2 linked regions of the Mytilus edulis genome follow. The protein of the gene in region 1 binds, or shares a complex with, the protein of each later gene. Links are inferred from orthologs where the notes say so. Each region holds a gene or a part of one and is shown on either strand. Other genes may lie near its edges.

Region 1 (10,545 bases):
TTTTGTAAAAGTTAACGACGACGGACGACGGACGCAAAGTGATGGGAAAAGCTCACTTGGCCCTTCGGGCCAGGTGAGCTAAAAAGGTGTATTGTAAGTTGTTTAAATGATATCTTATGACATCCCATATCAATTTTATTTCTAACCTTCAATTCTTCATTTAAAATACTTACATTTGTTAAATGTTTATAACATGTAGTATCTACAACATTGATTGATTTTTTTGGTCCAACACTAAGACTGGTTTCCATGAAGTTTTTAGTATTTCCAAACTCTTTATAACCATTTTTTGTTATACTTCAAAATCTTCAAGTACAATTCTTATTGTTGTCCTGTTTGGTATTAATTATACAGTATATATAATAATTGGTTTTCAGATGTTTTTCATCCTTTTTAGGTCATGTGTAGGTCATAAAGACTGATCCCCCTTTTTTCTGGTTTCTTACCTTCAAATATAAAGACTGGTTTCCATGTAGCTTCTGAAGCTTCTGGTGCTAAAGCTGCTGACAAACTGTAAAATAATGATGGATAAAAAAAATACTCTTTCTTTACAAACTACAAAAAGTATATTGACATTGCAGCTTTTGAATAATTTAAATCATTCCAAGTAAAAGTATCAAAAGTATGGAAAGTGTATATCTGAATATCCATAAATTTAAAGCAATGTCATTTGGGATTAAAAATATCAAAGAAGTTAAAATCAAGTCTCATGGTTGAACCTTTTTACAATTTCCTTGAAAACTGTTTTAAAATCAAGTTTTGTCATGTTTGTAAGGATGCTGTTCTAATAAAGCTATAATCATAATGAATATGATACACTCATGACATTAGATCTGTCCATGTGGTCATAAAAGTTTTGAGTAATTATCATACTCAGGCTTCTACCAATCAAAATAATGAATCATATGTTTAAAGCACAAATTTTGTACTAGAAGTAATGAAAAAAGCTTTATGAATGAGAACCCTGGAACAACATTCCTTTTTTAAACCATGTAGTCTACACTTAATTAAAAATAACTGTTACTACACCTGAAAACAGCAATCTGTCCGTAGTTATTAGCAGCTGCAATGTACTTTCCACATGGCGAGTAACAATGATCAAATATTGTCGTGTGTAGTTGTCTACGTGCTGCTAAATCTCTGTCCTGCAAAGACAAAAGCATTGTTGATTGTTAATAAAAAATCATCAAACCTAAACAAACAAGGCTTATAAAATTGTACGGCAGATGATGAGATTTATGATCACCAGCAACGCTCCATAAAAACAATTGGAGAGTAAAGTTATTTTTAAAGTAAAATACAAAGTTTTAGAGCTTTAAAAACCAATAATTGTGAAAAGTTTAGTCAAATACAGCTATGGCAATCTATACTTGGGGTAGATAAAATTGCCTACCTAAAAGTAAGGAATATCAGTGTACTTATTTTGTTATGTAAAAATGTGTAAGTCTTTGAGCCTCCAAGTCCATTTCTACTAATGGTTGTATGGTACTTTAAGGTTGCAAATGACTGACAAAGATCAATGCATATTTTTCCTTTAAATCACTGACTTCACATAATCTTATAGTATTGAATACATGTTGTAGTTACTTTTTATGCCCTACTTAGGGGCATTATCAAGTCAAGGGACTTACTGAAATGAGTAGCAAATTCGAGGTTTTGTCACAAATTGGAATTTTGTAGTTTTTTCAAAATTTTAAACACATAGGTTTAAATAATATCTTTTAATTAGTAAAATTAAAAAAAAATGAACTTTTTGCTTCTTTTAAGTAGCAAGGTTTATGCCTTCGATGCTAAAATTTAGCTGAAAATTCTATTTTAGTTGAAAAAATGCTATAATAATGGCTTTACATTATGAACTGATACTTTCTTCAAAGATTTTTCCCAGCAGTGGGAGTATTTTTCCTGTGAAGTTCAAGGTTTCATCTTTCAGATTATGTAATAAAATTCTACTGTTCGTGATAAAAATTTCACTGTTCGGGGGTGTTGAAATTAATGGGGGTTATTAAAAGAATGATACTTAAAGAAGTGATTTTTGGGAAGGAAATTGAGGTCTGATACTTAAACAAGTGATTTTTATGTCATTATCCTAGATTCAGTACAAGGTCATCACCTGAAATGACCTAGTCATCCTAGACAACACAGATGTTGGTTCTGATAAGTTTAGAAACATAATTAGTCCCTGGATCATTAGTATTCTATATTTAAAGCTACAATAAAATTATATCACTTCTTCTAGTGATTAATTTTTACTTCTTAAATAGGTGATTATTAAAGAAAGACAACTCTAACTTCCAACCTTTATGGAAATAATGTTACTTGAATCAGTGATTTAGAAAATCACTTATTTAAGTAAGTCTGCCTATCCTTCAACCTTCAAGTTAAAGTTTTTGGTCAAGGAAAATTTTGTCAACTTGAAACTTAGGATGTATACATTCCCTATGATATGATCTTTTTAATTTGTTTGCCAAATTAAAGTTTTGACCCCAATTTTACGTTTCTTTGCACATAGAAAATGATAGTGTGTGATAATGATAATCCTGGAATCGTTGGGTCACTGTGAAAACTGTCCAAATATGAGAAAATAAAGGGTGGCAGGAAGATGAAACTAATATAAATGAAAAGATAAATGAAAAATTATCAAATTGAGATCTGATTTATATGGACCAAAGGCAGTCTGTCGGCGACAGAACTTCAGAAGCATCCAAGCAGCTCATCTATATTGGATGGGAAAATATCTAATTACTGATATGGGAATAGCAGGTAAGGCAAAACAGCCGTTGGAGATCAGAGTAAAATCAATCAATCATTTGTATTATTGTATATGAAATGTTTTTGTTAGATTTCTTTGATAAAAATAAAAAAAATATACAGTAGTGTAATTGGCCCGTAGTTCTAGGGGGTTTCCCCAACATGTAACAAGGGTACTGGTACATCACCGAGGGATCTGAAAGGGACACATGACGCAAGGGTAACAGTTGGGTACTTCCTAGTCTAAATAATTATGACGTCTTAAAATAAAATTGAGAATGGAAATGGGGAATGTGTCAAAGAAACAACAACCCGACCAAATAAAAAACAACAGCAGAAGGTCACCAACAGGTCTTCAATGTAGCAAGAAATTCCCGCACCCGGAGGCGTCCTTCAGCTGGCCCCTAAATAAATATATACTAGTCCAGTGATAATGAACGCCACACTAATTTCCAAATTGTACACAAGAATCTAAAATTAAAATAATACAAGACTAACAAAGGCCAGAGGCTCCTGACTTGGGACAGGCACAAAAATGCGGCGGGGTTAAACATGTTTGTGAGATCTCAACCCTCCCCCTATACCTCTAACCAATGTAGAAAAGTAAACGCATAACAATACGCACATTAAAATTCAGTTCAAGAGAAGTCCGAGTCTGATGTCAGAAGATGTAACCAAAGAAAATAAACAAAATGACAATAATACATAAATAACAACAGACTACTAGCAGTTAACTGACATGCCAGCTCCAGACTTCAAATAAACTGACTGAAAGATTATGATTTCATCATATGAACATCAGGCACAATCCTTCCCGTTAGGGGTTTAGTATCATACCATCATAACATATATGAGAAGAACATAACCCGTGTCATGCCAACAACTGTTTTTAGAATAAATGTGTTTAGTTCCGATGCAAAGACCTTATCAGTGACTCAATATTAACGCCAAAATATGCAATCTTTAATGACTTGACAACAGGATCGTAATTATATCCCTTATTAATAAGTCTATTCAAAGGTTTTGTAAGTTTCTGAGGTGAATACTGACACCTTTGTGCTTTATAAAGAATATTTACATAAAAAATTGGATGTGAAATACCTGAACGTATTAGAAGTCTGCATGTTGAGCTATATTTACGAATGATGTCTTTATACCGATGATAAAAGGCTATTATAATTTTTTTCTTTGACGCCTTACTTCGACGTTGAAGTAAGGCGTCAAAGAAAAAAATTATAATAGCCTTTCAAGACGTCATAATTATTTGGACTATAGTCGCCGTCAGCTGAAATTCGTAGCGGTTATCGGTAAAAATAATATAAACTATCAATCGCGTACACTCGAGATATAGTTTTTCACATTCCATTCATAAATCGCAAAAAGAAAAACCACTACTGACCTACCTTTTAAGTGATCACACTGTAATAATCCTGACCTTCACATTTTCGGGAATATTTTCCATTGTAATTCCGCCATCTTCGTTTCTATGAGGATCATTTGTTTACATATGACATTCGTCACAGTACGCAGTTTCCTGAAATGTTCCTTTCATTGATGCGATAAGGTTTCCCGCGCTTTATGCAAATTTTATGAAATTGAACTCCACGGAAACACTTCCGGTAAAAACAATGGCTGATTCCACCATTCAAAATCGTCTATGAAAAAGTGAAGGTCAGGATTGTTACAGTGCGATCACTTAAAAGGTAGGTCAGTAGTGGTTTTTCTTTTTGCGATTTATGAATGGAATGTGAAAAACTATATCTCGAGTGAAACGCGATTGATAGTTTAGATTATTTTTACCGATAACCGCTACGAATTTCAGCTGACGGCGACTATAGGTACTTCCAGCCTCTACTTCAAGTGCATCCCTCTCTTACGCGAAGCGAGCAAGGCAATGCGCCTGAAATTTGGGACCTGACAAGGTTAGCTGGGACTGACACCTAGAAGAGAGGTAAGGGCACTCTAACACTAAGTATAGCTTGTATTAACCCCTGGGGTAACCGTAGAGCTCAGCGAGACCGGCCAAAATGGCAAATAACACTTCAATATCAAGCCCATCTTTTTAGCCCTTAAACAGAGCTTAGAAATAAGTTCAAGTTTTCATACGAAACTTATACCATTTTCAATTTTGAATCTATTTGTATTCGCCAGTGAACTGGTAATATGTAAACTTTTGGCAGTTTGCACGTTGATTTGTTTTCGTTTGGTTTTCGGTATCGGGACCGTTCGCCCTAATAACATGTTCGCCCTGGGTATGTTCGCCCTGAGTTCGTTCGCCCATATAGTCCGTTCGCCCTACTAAAAAAATATTAATATTGAGGGCATTGAAGTTGAATAAACTTATTCAGATATTTCTATGGTATATATTCTTGAAATTTATGGAAACCGCGAAATATGTTAAAGTTTATGGCTTGTTTAGGATCATTACAATTGTTCAATGACAAAATAATTCGCATCGCTGATTATTTTGATACTTGTCTTTTGATGGATTATTAATAAAAATCAAACGTTTTGTTTAAAACTTTTGATAAAATATTCAGCTTGAAATTAATAAAAACAATGATGTACGAACTGTAAATCATGAAACATGTTTGTTTACAAGTTCATTTAGTATTATACTCTTAAAATTAGGAAACTAGAACAATTAGAACAAATGAAAAATCAGGGCGAATGGACCCTGGGCGAATGGACCCTGGGCGAACAGGAATCAGGGCGAACAGGAATCAGGGCGAACAGATACCAGGGCGAACGAGAATCAGGGCGAACGGACCCGGATTCTTGGTTTTCCCGCAGTTCCGGTGACTAACAAAAAATCGAAATCGGGTAAAAATCCGGAATTAAATAAAAAAAAAAACCAATAAATTATATTATCCCGGGAGTTAGAATGATTAAAATCATGTTCTTTAACATAAAGAAACAGACATCAACTGTAAAGTTAATTCTTATTGTAGTAATATGTATTATATTATACTTTCTCTCAAAATAGAATAAAATCACGTGATAAAAATTTGTATACAAAGTGAAAGTCATATGACTAGAAAATGGCCGTTGTTGGGTAAAGAACGTAATAATTTGACAGAAGTTTTCAGATATGAATAAGCAATAATATCATCATAAAACAGCATGTTCATATGAACATTTATATACAAGAAGTTATTTGTAATATTGAATCCTGAATCCTAAGATTTAAGGCTACTATATGGCCTGTCCTTTAGAGATCATGTTCAGAGAAAAAGTTGATATTTTAATATATATAATATTGTCATTCATAGGCAGATCCAGGGGGAAGGGGCCCGGGCCACCCTTTTCGTGGAAAAATTTGGTTGATTATATAAGGAATCACTGAAGCATGACTGGAGCAGGCCCGCCTTAGGTCAGTCAGCTGCCCCCCTTTTATGAAAAGTTCTGGATCCGCCACTGTGACATTGATTGATGTATGAAAATATAGATAAATAGTTTAATATTAATTCTCTGATGAAGTTTTACCAACTCCAAAAATAAAGATAAGATTTTTTTAAAGTACACATTTAAGTTCACCATATACATGATATCAGTCATTTCAAAAAAATGTACATTTTTCGGTTAATGTCTATTGTCTGTTTTATTTGTAAGTTTGACATATTTTTTCAATTTAACATAAGAGTTTACATATTGTGCAAGATAGTACATGCAAATATTAGTGTGCAAAAAGTTTCATATTTTTTTTTATATTCGTTTAAGTATGAAAATTCGCCAATTTCCATGCGTTCATTTTTGATAAATAACATTTGCATTCAAATTATCTGTACATAAAACTGCATTTAAAGGTAAACAGAATGATTTTTCTTCATTTAGTAACATCATAATTAAAAATAAATAACTTTCCATGTTTCAAATCATGACAACTTTTATTCCACAGTCACTGGAATGTCTGTTCATCAATATGTGTCCTTCCTGTTACTATTTATTTGTTTACGGAATAAAACTAGTTTCTCCCTCAAATAACGGCGGTTTTTTATGGTGACGTCGTAGGCGTGGATACAGGACATAACGACATGGTGAAATTTTTTATGTGGAAAGATTTTGGTCATCAGAATCAAAAGATCGGTAGGTATTGATGTATGCGTACCTTTTTATAATGTCTTTAATGTTACCAGTTGATAGATAATTTTTAATTGCATAAGACTAATGAAACGGTTGTTACCGTAACTTAGGCATGGGCCGGAAGTATAAAAACACTACATCAATTATTAGGGAGCGACTATTATAAAACCAATTTAAGTTATGTACTATTTTTTCCATCCTGTTACTGTCCTTCCTGTTACAAAGACATTGGTAACAGGAGGGACAAAAATGGTAACAGGATAGACATACTTTGTGTAAGAAAACTCAAAATGCCTCTTACATTATCGCAAATAAATTGTTACGCATATTTATTACCGTACGGTATATTAATTCATAAAATGTACATTTGTATTGAGGTATTTCTAGAACAAGTCAAGTGCTACCTTGACTGGTAACAGGATGGACTACATTATTAATTGTGCAATGTTTTGCCAACTTTTGTACTGGTTTCTTAGAGACATGATACTTTCTCGTTACAGGCAAATAGAGATACAGACCTTGCGAGACGACAGCAACACTCATGACACAAAAGAATGTCTTTTATTCCAAAAAAAAAGGGGGGGGTGCACAACATATAAATGTGGGTATATTATACCTCCGATTGTGGTTTGAACTCCCCTGCCCTATTCATAAAATAACTATGTGCAAATCCCTTCTCTTACTTAAATGAGATGATATTAGGAGATACAAATATTAGAACACCAATTTTAGTCTACAGTAGGTGCACATCATGTACGTATGGGTCGACCCATTAATTGATATAAGAATTTCTACCCATTGATTTATTGCCTTCTTAAAGTTGCAGGTCATTGATATATTTGCCATTCCAAATACAAATAAGCACACCAGCGGCAAATCTGTGTGTATTATTAATTTTTATAATGACATACCCCCCCCCCTTTTTTTTGGACGCCTCCGTGCTTTTCTTTGTCAAAATCATTGAGAGACGCTGCTACAACTTCCAGAATGTTGGCTATCATTCCGAATCCAAATAAAATCAGAACCTCTTCGTGAACTTATCGAGATGATCCAGAAATCCAAGAATGACAAGCCTTCAGTGTTAAAATGTGTCAGAAACTAGATACATGTATATCAGAATCATTGACAATAAGAAAAAAAATAATTTGAATTTTCGTTCAGTTGTATTGTTGTGTTCTTTAAATTGTCCTTATGTTTTTAAACATATGAAATTAGTTTTGCTCTTTACGCCTATCTTCAACCTTCTCTAAGACGGAACGATGGGTGGTTGTTCTGCTGATTGGTTAGCCTCCAGTGGACACTTAAAGGCATATTCAGGAAGAGAATATGATAAATAAATAAGAACCAACATGCTGAACTTGGTCTTAAAAGCGGTAGTTCACAGAAAGGCATGTCATCTTATGTACTGATTTTTACGACTTGCGGCAACAAAATCTTACTTCATACTTAACGAAAAAAACAAAAAACACCAATAACAATTTTTCATTTGTTTTTGTTTTGTTTTGTTTGTTTGACCCAGACAGGGTTGATACACGTATAAATGGTTCGTGTATAATGTTTATTTACTTATATCTCCCGTTCGTATCCCTATGAAATTCAAAATCCAGTTTTTTGTTATTGATTTTCGTGACCCAAATTATGTTTTGTCTCTACTGTTACCACTTTGTCCTCCCTGTTACTGTCTTTGTTCGTTCCTGTTACCCCAAAAAATGTGTAAAATAATTTTTACAATCAACATAACTGATCTATTGACTAAGTTTCCAGTTAGTATAATTGAAAAGGGACATACTAGTAAATTTTCAATGCCACTGTCTCCACAATATTTTTTTAAGAGTGTTTGAAAAATAAGAAATGTGATGATTTTCCTGAACGTACCGACTATCTGCAGATTTTTTTTGGGTAATCTACATAAATGATAAATGTAAATGTGATTTCAAATGAACACTGCTATGCAAATGTGAGCCACACTTTTCATTGGATATTTTCTTTTCTATTATCACTTTTGCTATCAGTTAAAAATAGTAACAGGATGGACAAAATCTGACACAAGCCTGCACACAATTTTAAAATAAAATTTTCTCAGGTGTTGGTAAGATTGCATATTTTGAAAAAATATTAACAAATCAATATGCTATTGGTTTTTTAAATTAATTTGCATTTATTTTAACTTTTTTTTTGGAAAAGTTCAGATTCCGAATTTGTACTTTATTTTGAAATGACTGATATACAAGAATCAAAGTGACAATATAGGATGATACATTTAGTATGGGTTGTTCGCATTGTTGAAAGCTGTATGGTTGCTTATAAATGTATACATTTACTTCATTTGAACTCATTGGTTTGTTCGATTTGTTGTATCTTCAGAGCTCCAGATAAGCTGCGTATTTGCGTGATCATGCAATACAAATAATAAAAAACCCAATGCAATTGCCCATTGCAGGGTTCAATAACCCAATTAATTCAAAGGAAAACCCAATTATATTCCAAAACCATGAGTTTTCCACCCTTTTATTGGCTACCATTTGCGTTGTTTACCCTTATCTGTTTACAGTCGTAGCGTAAACTATTTTTATTTTTTATAATATTTATAATTGGAAATTTCCTTTCGTTCTAAAAATAGATCCCTGCATCAAGTAGCTGAAATAGGTCCCTTTTAGAGTTTGCCGTTGCTCAATAGGTACACGTGTTTTTGAAAACATATCGATCTTCTCGACGTCTATCCAATTAGTGTGTGTCATGTAGTCATATTTTTTTCGCATTGCTCGGGATTTATCATAACATACATTGAATTAAAACAAAAGTGAATGTTCGGTTAAAATATTGAATAGAAGCATGTTTTCTGCTTCTTTTGAAAAGCTGAGGAAAAGTTATGATGATAACAAGACTCAGCCAGTGTTTTTAGGAAGCCGTAGAACACACGGGCGTGTGTGCGTACCTTAACGAGAACATTGCTAATAAATACAGGGTTTCCTCAAAAAGAAATCAGTTGGAAAAAGTGAAAGGCCAAACACTTGAGGCCAAATCAATTATGACATGATAAAGCATCAGAAACCAAAAGTTCTAATAAAAGACAACTAAACCCAGATTTATGAAATTTGAAATAAAACAAAAACATTCAAGTATAATTAGAGTTTATAATATAAACTATTTTTTGTTTCATTTTACACTGGTCTCAGAATTTATTATATAAAGGTATAAGATGAGTGCCTGTGAATACACATATCCGTTTTATACAGTATATATGAGAAAATACAAAACTTGCAGAAGGTTTGAAATGGAACAAAAATTAAACCTACAATTGCTCCTCAGTGAATAAACCAAATAAAACAGCTAGCAAATAACCCTAACCATAAACCAAATAAAACAGCTAAACAAAGAAAGAAACATATTTAAGATGGAAAAAAATCTGGGGTTGATATTGCCTAAATATTCAATATTGTGTTGATGAAAAAACCCAGTACAATAAGGAGCTTGGTGGTGAAAAACCCAATTTGATATTAACATGAGGGGTGAATTGGAATTGATAATGCAATCAAAAAACTTTATCACTCAATTATATAAGAAAATGGTGGGTAAAAAACCCAATTTGTGAATTCTTATCTGGAGCTCTGATCTTTGAAAATCATACATCTCCCTTTTTAATATATATATATATATATATAAATATATTGTGAGACCATTAGGATCCATATTGAAGGTAGTACTTTGACCTAG
Region 2 (10,146 bases), on another chromosome or scaffold:
CTGTTATTCTTATTCCAATGCATCACAATAATGCACAAGAGCTCGGAGGAATCAACAATGAAAATAAAAATCAGTGAAAGTCCATTAATGCTTTTAGTTTTAGCGCAATAAATTCATTTCAAAACATGACGTCATACAAATGAAAACACTCAAGCTGAAGATTTTTACTGTATTTTTCCATTACATGAATCATGGAAATTCATACATGTCATATAATACATTAAAATGGATTTTTGAGGTAGGTGTTGTTTTTTATCTATTCTATCGCATTATTTGCATATTTACTTATTTCAGCAAGTCAACATGGCGGCTCTTTAGTTACAAAATGTCAACTTTGTATTTGACAGTAGCTGATGAGATAAACATGTAAATTAAAAATGGCAAATGTTGGGTTTGAGAATGAACAGAATTAAGCACATGCAAGCTACTGATTAGAATGTTTCAGCTTTATCCAACCAGGAGTTAAACAGAACAGCCACACACACGGCAAACCCACCCTCACTTCAGTTTTTTTAATGACCATATTTGTCCTATTAGAATCGAAATAATTCATGGAAGCCATAGACTTGTTATAACCTTCTATGCAGCCAAGAAATAACAAAATAATTTGAGAGAGGTTTTAATATAGCTATTATACATACTCTCAACAAATTCAAAATGGTTTCTTGGGTGCACACGTCTTTTCAACTCTAATTATACTTAAAGTTGAAGTAAATTTACAAAAATGGTATGTTTCTTTTATCAACAAATGTAAAATTTGTTGTTATTACATTTTATGTTATTTTTTATACATCTTTTAACTGTAGTATTGTTAGGAAATACTTAAGATCATGGAAAGAACCTTTTAAATCTGTGCCAGTATTTGGACTAAATTGCTTCTACTTCAAAAGATTCTTTGGAAATCATATCTAATGCAAGCTTGGCCTTTATTATCAATATGATAAAAAAAGTAATGTATAGAAACCTAAAGATATGGTGTACTTGTACATGCATCAATAGCACACCAATTGTAATCAGCAAACAGATATGTAATGATGTTGCAGAGTTATCACAAATTGTAGGCAAGTGCTTGTCATACACTTATAAAACCTGAATTTGAAATGAAAACATACCTTGTCTGTTTTTCCTAATTCGTTTTGCTTGCTGTAATTCATTTTTACACTCTGAAATCTTTTCTGTAGCCTCACTTATTTTTTGTTCTGAAAAAAAAAGTGTACAGAGCCCATTTCATGTATTTTCCAGCAGATCACCTAATCTTTTGTGCTAATTAAAAAATTTTTTTTTTAAATGGGAACTAGGGCATGTTTTCTATTCAATTAACATCAATAGAAGAAAGGTCAAGTGAAAACTGTCCGACAGGCAAGTGGACCTTGCAAGGTACGCACATACCAAATGTAGTTACATTGTATCCTATTACTCATAATAAGAGTGAAATGAACATTACAAACAAGAATGTGTCCCCAGTACACGGATGCCCCACTCACACTATCATTTTTTATGTTTAGTGGACCGTGAAATTGGGGTCAGAACTCTAATTTGGCATTAAAATTAGAAAGATCATATCACAAGGAACATGTATACTAAGTTTCAATTTGATTGGACTTCAACTTCATCAAAAACTACCTTGACCAAAAACTTGAACCTGAAGCAGAACAGACAAACGGACGAATGAACAGACAAATGGACGCACAGACCAGAAAACATATTGGGCAAAATAAATGGGGCATAAAAAAAAATATAACATAACAACAATTCTTTATTAAGGTAATAACAAAATGCTAATAGTTACAGAAATCTTATTTTAAGTACTTATTCTTCGGGTATAGAATCATCCCATCTTACACTGTACTATAAGTTGTTGTATGTCTAATAGACAATATCTATATTATATATGCAGCTACAATTGCACTATTATTATTGTTTTCATTTTAGGATTCTGATACAGATTTGTTTTAAATACAAATTGAAAACTTGTGTAACCTTGTCACCATCCCACCATGTTTCTTTACTATTTCTATATCTTACCAATTTCTTTACTTAATTTTTCATAATTTGATTGCTCCTTCAAATTCATCTTGAAAACATTCAAACATTTTCCTGCAGCACAGTCACACAGAGCTAGGTCTTTCATCATTCTCTCATACTGGGCATGACTGAAAAAGGAACATGTATTTCATTAAAAGAAAATAGTTCGGGTATTTGTTATTTGTAAGAACTTGTACAAATTGGGTATTTGTTATTTGTAAGAACTTATACATTTGTAGTTTTGTACATCTCCCCAATCAGCTTTCACATAAAGGTAAAATAAATTTAATAAAAAGATTGGGAGCAACTGTAAAAAAAACCAGTTGCCAACACTTCATCTTTGTAAAAAATCAGAAAACATAATAAACAAGAATGTGTCCATAGTACACGAATGCCCCACTCGCACTATCATTTTCTATGTTCAGTGGACCGTGAAATTGGGGTCAAAACTTTAATTTGGAATTAAAATTAGAAAGATCATATCATGGGGAACAAGTGTACTAAGTTTCAAGTTGATTGGACTTCAACTTCTTCAAAAACTACCTTGACCAAAAACTTTAACCTGAATCGGACGGACGAACGGAGGCATAGACCAGAAAACATAATGCCACTCTACTATCGTAGGTGGGGCATAAAAATATAAATACAATGTATTATTCTTACATTATATATTTTGGTTTTTTTTCAATTTGAAAAAAAAAAACATTTGATATAAATTAAGTCATTCATGATTCATGATCATTCATTACAGAACAGAGTCAAACAGAAGTATCTTTTTATCATGTTTATAAATATAAATTCATATAACACAGGCCACATGTGCTACTAATACTGTTGTATTTTTCCAATCGACCAGTTTGGTAATTTGCTCAAAACTACAATTTGATTTAACATTTTTCTCAGACTGCAAAAGCAGAGATATCTATTAATTACAGCCAAGGTACATTATATTAATTACAAGCATATAACTCATTGTCAGAAATCCATATTGTCATACAAAGTGAATATCATTTGGCAAAAAATGGTGCAAAATTTCATTTTCTGTATACTTCTTCAAAAAAACACCCCAGATTTTTTCTACGTCTTTGTGTTGCTTCAGTATTTTGTAAAATGAATCTTTAATGCAGTATGTATGTCTTGTCATTGATTTTTGGCTATCTTTAGTATCTTAAATCTCTCTTTCTACAAATCTAATACCATAAATAAACAAAAAGGTGTGAGAAAAAGCACTGACTTATGATTATGGTAACTCTGTGTATCATGGCCATTCATGCACATTTATGTTTTCTGCTCATTGGTGTGGTTTTTGTCTCTTTGACACTTTCTTCATTTCCATTCTCAGTTTTAGTATACAGGGGCTGTTCTTACTCACAAACATACTGCATACATGTACCACATTGCCACAAGTTGTGCATGTTACATTGCATGTCATCCTATTGGGGCACAGGGGTAGGTGTTCAAAATCTTGATAAACTGTATTTTCAAGGTGGCATTAACTTGTCATACAATTGTAAATTTGGAAATTTTCAACATGTTGGAAAATTCCTGCTCCATGTTAAAACTATCATGACTATGATATTTATTGATTATTGCATTTACTAAATACAATTTAATAAGTTCTCAAACATATTAGGACATTAGACAAAGCTGTATCAATGAAAATCTAAAAAAAAAAATTAAGCTAGTTTACAAAAACTATAGATTACTTTTCTTCCTTGGTCTCTGATTCACTTGCCCAATGGAAAAATGTTTTCAATAAGCTGGCAATTCTCTTATCGTCACCACCTCCATCACCTTCTATTAATAACCTCCTCCGAAAAATATCATCTATAAAAAATGTTTTTAGTTTAATAATTTACTATTAGCATAATTAGTTTATGGTTTGATTTCTGTATTTGACTAAATAAAATTGAACTGGATTTGAGAATACATGAATACATCTATTTTAATTATTATATTACTCAAGATAATTGATTACACACAGATACATTTGTATATTTAATTAGATAATTGGATTAGTTAAGTAATAAAATAAGTGTCAAAGTGATTGACAAGGGGTGTGTATCATAATAATCCAATCAACTTATAATTCAATTTAATCATTTCAAAACAAGACCGTAACCATATCCCTTGGCCTTTGCTTATGTCATTTTGTGCACATCATTACCATTTAAGTGCAATTTAGTTAAAATTTTTTTAGAGTTACGATATATAAAAGGCATATAAATGAAAGCAAATACAACAAAATATCTTTTAATATATATATAGTTGAAGTACATGATTTATGAAGTATGGTTGAAATGACTATTACTACATAGGCAAATCGACATAGGCCAATCCTGTTCCATTGGCATGGCCTAAACAACTTTTTTTCAGGAAAATTATGCATTTTGAGAAATTGTGTTTCAAAAAATTCCAAATTTTATATAAAAGGTATATATCAGGTTGGGAACAAACGGTGAAACCCTCTATAATCTATATGGTGTTTATACCTTTATAGAGGGATATTTTTGTTAAGATTGGTTTTAAAGCAAAATAGGGTATATTGGCAGTCTCTACTTATTATGACAGTAACCTGCAACAATTGATGTACTTAGTTTAATATGCACATACCCAGTTTACTGCTAAACTGACTGTATATATACAATCTATTGTACAGTGAGATAGGTATAAAATACATGTAAATTTCAAGTTCTGTCGGCAGAAATCTGGGCATCCCAATTTTAGTAAAGTGCAATAACTGATGCATATAATGCTTTATATTATAGCCAATATAACTAGAAAATGCTAATCTGCCCTATTTTGCTTAAAATCCAGTCTTAACAAAAATACAGAAGGATTAACCCTCTATAAAGGTATAAACACCATAGATAGAGGGTTTGTTCCCAAAGCAAATACAACAAATCATCTTTTAATATATAATTGAAGAATGGATGAAACGACTATTATTATATAGCTGAATCAACAAAGGCCGAACCGGCTCCATTGGCTTGGCCGAAACGACTCGTTTCAAATAAAATAACTTAAAAAAATTTGCATTTTGAGAAATTGTGTTTCAGAAAATAAAAAAAGATTCGAAAATGGGCCACATAATCCTTAGTTGAGGGAATTATATTAAATTTGGATCTATGTTCTATCTAGCATTGAACACATTTAAGTCAATCAATCAATCTAATTTCATAAACATTATAAAACATGAAAAGCATGCAGCACGAGAAGACTAACCATCACTCACTGCCATTTTCGTCGCTTGTAGCATCAAATTTGAATAAAATACAAAAAATTTGTGGCACATTTTCGTTTAATTTGTTAATTTCTATATTTCATATTTTAATTTGGAGTTATTTTTCGATCTTCGTAAAAAAATAGGAACTTTTGAATTGTTAAAATCATCATTTAACAAACTATATTTTCGTTGGCGTAAGCGGAAGACCAAGACCAACGACGGAGTTTCCCGATCTTTGACGTCACAAAACATCGGTGATAGTCGGACTGGCAGAAAGCAACAAGAAAAACTGCAAAATGGCGACCCTGGACAGTAGTCCGTCGCATTTTGCGGGTCAACCATGGTCCGAATGGGCCAATACTGTGCCTTCCCCACCATATAGTGGTGAGAATAGAATATCATCGTTTAAATGATTCATGTATTGTCCAAAAGCTATTACAAATTTCTGAATGTTCAAAACTTTTCCATAACCAGTGTCGTTTCTACTTTCAAAATTTCCCTGACAAATGTCAAAATAAATTCTTATATATTTTCAGATTCAGGTGGTGAAAGCTCTGAATCTAAAGCTACAGACGACAGTGATAGTATGAAACTGAATGTTGAAGGTAATAGCATTGGTAACAAAAGATAAGTTGAACTTATTTTATACACATTGATTTGAATGTAGTTTGACATGGAGAATAGCGTATAAATCTTTTACATGAAGTTCAATACCATTTTTTTTTAAAAAGAGAACAATAAACAAAAAATATGACAAATCAAGTTTTAAATGTTCACTCTACATTGGTTACAACCTAGCATAAAAATGATTCATCAAAAATCAGGCTTCAAAAATAAGAGTCAAAATCATTTGTCATTTAAAATGACAAATGGTTTTGACTCTTATTTTTGAAGCCTGTTTATGACCATGTTATCTTATTGTTTCTGAGTAATATATTCACCATTGATATCTATACCTGTTGCTCTTAAGGTTCATCATAACCTTTTGGCTAAAATGGCCGTATTTATACCCCAAATTTTACTCTGAGTACAGACTAACCTATACACCTGCAACAGTTTTAAGGGATGGCAGGAACTAGATATATAAATTTTAAATGCATTTTATGTTTCAGAAAATTATAAACTTTTCTAGATTTTGCTATCCATTTTTTTTCGTTCCTGCAGAAGGTGCAAAAATTAACTAAGTAGTGAAAACGATTGAGAAGCTCCCCTCATATAATCAATGTTGTGAGTAGTATTGATTTAAATGGACAATAGATGGACAATAGACACCTGTAAACAATAGGTGATTTAACAGGTTTAAACTGTGTAACTGAGTGGACCGTATCAAACGAAACTCGGGTGTTTGTTTATTTTGCTATCTTCTGCAGACTGGAAAAAAATGAACATCAAAATCCAGGTAAGTTTATAATTTTCTGAAACGTAGACTTCATATAACTTTTATATATCTAGTTCCTGCCATGCCTTAAAATTTTCCTGGATGTACCAGTTTGTCTGTACTCATAGTAATTTTGGAGGTGTAAACACGGCCATATTTTTCAATTCCTTATGATGAACCTTAAATTCCTTGTAGATGCTGAGCTTACAAGATCTTTCAAAAGCTAAAGCAGAAATTGTGTTATTTTTGGTACTCAAACATCACACACTCCATTAATACTGCATGAACAATGGATCTAGTATACAAAATTAATTTGATAAGAAAAATACAAAACTGAAGTAAATCACTTTTAAATCAATGGAAATGCTTTTTCTTTTTTATTTGTTTCATTATCAGCATAATTTGAGAAAAATCACCTGTTTTATCTAAACTGGTCTCCAATCGAAATTTACAGTACACATCCAAATGCTTCTTAATCTTTCAGATTCAATTGTTTTGTCAATCTTTTTACTTAATTATTATCCTCTAAATATCTCAACAAGTCAGCAGAATTAAGTTTTTGTAGTCGACTTACAATTCAAAGCTCTTATTTCCTGATATAAAATTTGGTAAGACATAAGAATGTATTAGGGTTGGATGTCTAAAATATAGTTGGAGGAAGAAACAGATATTTTTTTTTTATATCTTGTCTTGTGGATCATTTATTGAAAATTAATTACCAATTGAAACTAAATTTTAATTTTTTTTTGTTATTGTACAAAGTTATGAAGAAATTTGTATAATTTATTTTTTTGACACGTCACAGAGTGCATTGTTTGGTCAATGGAATATCTTATCCTCTTCTTTCTTACAGATAGTGCATTGTTTGGTCAATGGAGTGTAAACTACAAGAAATTTTTTATCTGTCCAGTGCATTGTATAAAGTTATTAAGTAATATAGTTTTGTTTTCTTTCTAACAGATAGTGCATTGTTTGGTCAATGGAGTGTGTAAACTACAAGACAATTTTTATCTGTCCAGTGCATTGTATAAAGTTATAAAGTAATATAGTTTTTCTTCTTTCTTACAGATAGTGCATTGTTTGGTTAATGGAGTGTGTAAACTACAAGACAATTTTTATCCGTCCAGTACATTGTATTTAAGAATTGAATGCTTCTTTTTGTAAATTTATTGGGGTGTAAAAGCGTTGACCGAAGTACATTTTGTATGAAGCGCAGAAGCGCTTCATTCTAAAAATGTACGCACGGTCAACGCTTTTACAACCCTATAATGTTACAAAAAGAAGCATTCAATACTTATAATTACATTTTTTAGCTATGATCATGAAAACACAAATTTTATATATTTTATTATTTAATTCACCTGTGCACTTTATTGTTGGAGCACGTGTTATCATGAGTGAAAAGATGTATTGAGCAATGCAACTGCTTACGGAATAACACGTGATGTGCAGTTAGCCAATCAGAATAAAATATTATAATGAAACATACATCTAATGTAATTATAAAGTTATAAAGTAATATAGTTTTGTTTTCTTTCTAACAGATAGTGCATTGTTTGGAGTGTGTCCTTCTCAAGATGAGTTTTTTCTTGTCCAGTGCGAGAAGTGTAATAAAGTATTAAAGCCACAAGCGCTTAACATACATCTACGTAAGTAAAGATCACCATCATATCAATTGGTTATTAAAAGTTGATTGACTGGTTAACCTTTGAGCCTTTCAAGACCACCATCACAATACATGTCATTTAGATGATTCCAAGCATCAAGCAAAATAACCAATAAATCAGTAATGAATCTTTACGATTTTCAATTTAGAGAGTTCAAGCATGAAACTTGACATGCTTATTCACCTTAACCAGAGCATGTAGAGTACAATAAAAAAAAATACATTAAACATCATGGTCAAAATCTTCTTTCAACTTACATGTATGTACGAAATGCATAAAAATTTTAAAGAAAAATCTGCAGATCGGTTTTGTCTTGCCTGATATAAAATTCACAGTATGCAAGCTATAGAAATGATTACTTTGTAACAACTCTGAAACTATCTTACAAAGCTATATATATAAAGAGGTAGCAGACCTGAAACTTTCTTAAATGTATACAATTGTTTCAAATGTTCTGTATGTCATATGTCCATTGCCCTTGACCTTATTTTTTTATGTCCCATTTATAAGCATTATGTTTTTATACTACCGCAAAAATTGAAAAAAATTTCGTCGTATATTGGCATCATGTTGGCGTCTTCTTCGTCCGAAGACATTTGGTTTTCGCACTATAACTTTAGTATAAGTAAATAGAAATCTATGAAATTTAAACACAAGGTTTATGACCATGAAAGGAAGGTTGGGATTGATTTTGGGAGTTTTGGTCCCAACAGTTTAGGAATTGGGGGCCAAAAGGGGCCCAAATAAGCATTTTCTTGGTTTTCGCACTATAACTTTAGTTCAAGTAAATAGAAATGTATGAAATTTTGACACGAGGTTTATGACCTCAAAAGGAAGGTTGGGATTGATTTTGGGAGTTTTGGTCCCATCAGTTTAGGAATTAGGGGCCAAAAAGGGGCCAAAAAAAGCATTATTCTTGGTTTTCGCACTATAACTTAAGTATAAGTAAATAGAAATCAATAAAATTTAAACGCAAGGTTTATGAACACAAAAGAAAGGTTGGGATTGATTTTGGGAGTTGAGGTCCCAACAGTTTAGGAAAAAGGGGCCCAAATAAGCATTTTTCTTGGTTTTCGCACCATAACTTTAGTATAAGTAAATAGAAATCAATGAAATTTAAACACAAGGTTAATGACCATAAAAGGAAGGTAGGCATTTTTTTTAGAGTTTTGGTCCCAACACTTTAGGAATAATGGGCCCAAAGGATCCAAAATTAAACTTTGTTTGATTTCATTAAAAATTGAATAATTGGGGTTCTTTGATATGCCGAATCTAACTGTGTATGTAGATTCTTAATTTTTGGTCCCGTTTTCAAATTGGTCTACATTAAGGTCCTAAGGGTCCAAAATTAAACTAAGTTTGATTTTAACAAAAATTGAATCCTTGGGGTTCTTTGATATGCTGAATCTAAACATGTACTAAGATTTTTGATTATTGGCCCAGTTTTCAAGTTGGTCCAAATCGGGGTCCAAAATTAAACTTTGTTTGATTTCAACAAAAATTTAATTTAGGGGTTCTTTGATATGCTGAATCTAAGCATGTACTTTGATGTTTGATTTTAGGCCCAGTTTTCAATATGATGCCAATGAACATAAATTATGAAAATAATGTCAGAAAATACTTTGGCTCATTACAGATAATACCTTGCAACCCTAGGTTTGACTGAATTTTTCAACAGAAACAAGTTTAAGGATGCAATTAAGAATACAAAATTTAGTATTTACATGTAAACTAGACATTAAAAAGTGTCCATATTGAAAATCAAGAATTGTTGTTCATTCCTATAAACTTTGATATTGAAAGCCAGAGGATTTAAATTTTTAATGCCCCCGCCTTAAGTTTTACCCTTG

What was found.
Region 2: THO complex subunit 6 homolog (region 1) and THO complex subunit 7 homolog share a complex: the UniProt entries of both Drosophila melanogaster proteins name them as parts of the THO complex. The link is inferred for Mytilus edulis from reciprocal best matches to the Drosophila melanogaster genes thoc6 and thoc7.

Annotation. Positions count from the first base shown.
Region 1 is NC_092349.1:58,725,501-58,736,045, reverse strand, and holds the start of THO complex subunit 6 homolog, read right to left. Parts: upstream 4,955-10,545; 5' UTR 4,869-4,954; coding exon 4,866-4,868; intron 4,700-4,865; exon of another isoform or gene 4,571-4,699; intron 4,456-4,570; exon of another isoform or gene 4,361-4,455; intron 1,146-4,360; coding exon 1,030-1,145; intron 512-1,029; coding exon 447-511; intron 1-446. Other genes in the region: serine-rich adhesin for platelets-like, read left to right, coding at 5,790-5,803. UniProt on the Drosophila melanogaster protein: The THO complex is required for cell proliferation and for proper export of heat-shock mRNAs under heat stress.
Region 2 is NC_092344.1:46,249,865-46,260,010, reverse strand, and holds the start of THO complex subunit 7 homolog, read right to left. Parts: upstream 4,430-10,146; 5' UTR 4,415-4,429; coding exon 4,303-4,414; intron 3,853-4,302; coding exon 3,732-3,852; intron 2,154-3,731; coding exon 2,026-2,153; intron 1,200-2,025; coding exon 1,113-1,199; intron 1-1,112. Other genes in the region: serine-rich adhesin for platelets-like, read left to right, coding at 5,548-5,635, 5,788-5,856, 8,174-8,278. UniProt on the Drosophila melanogaster protein: The THO complex is required for cell proliferation and for proper export of heat-shock mRNAs under heat stress.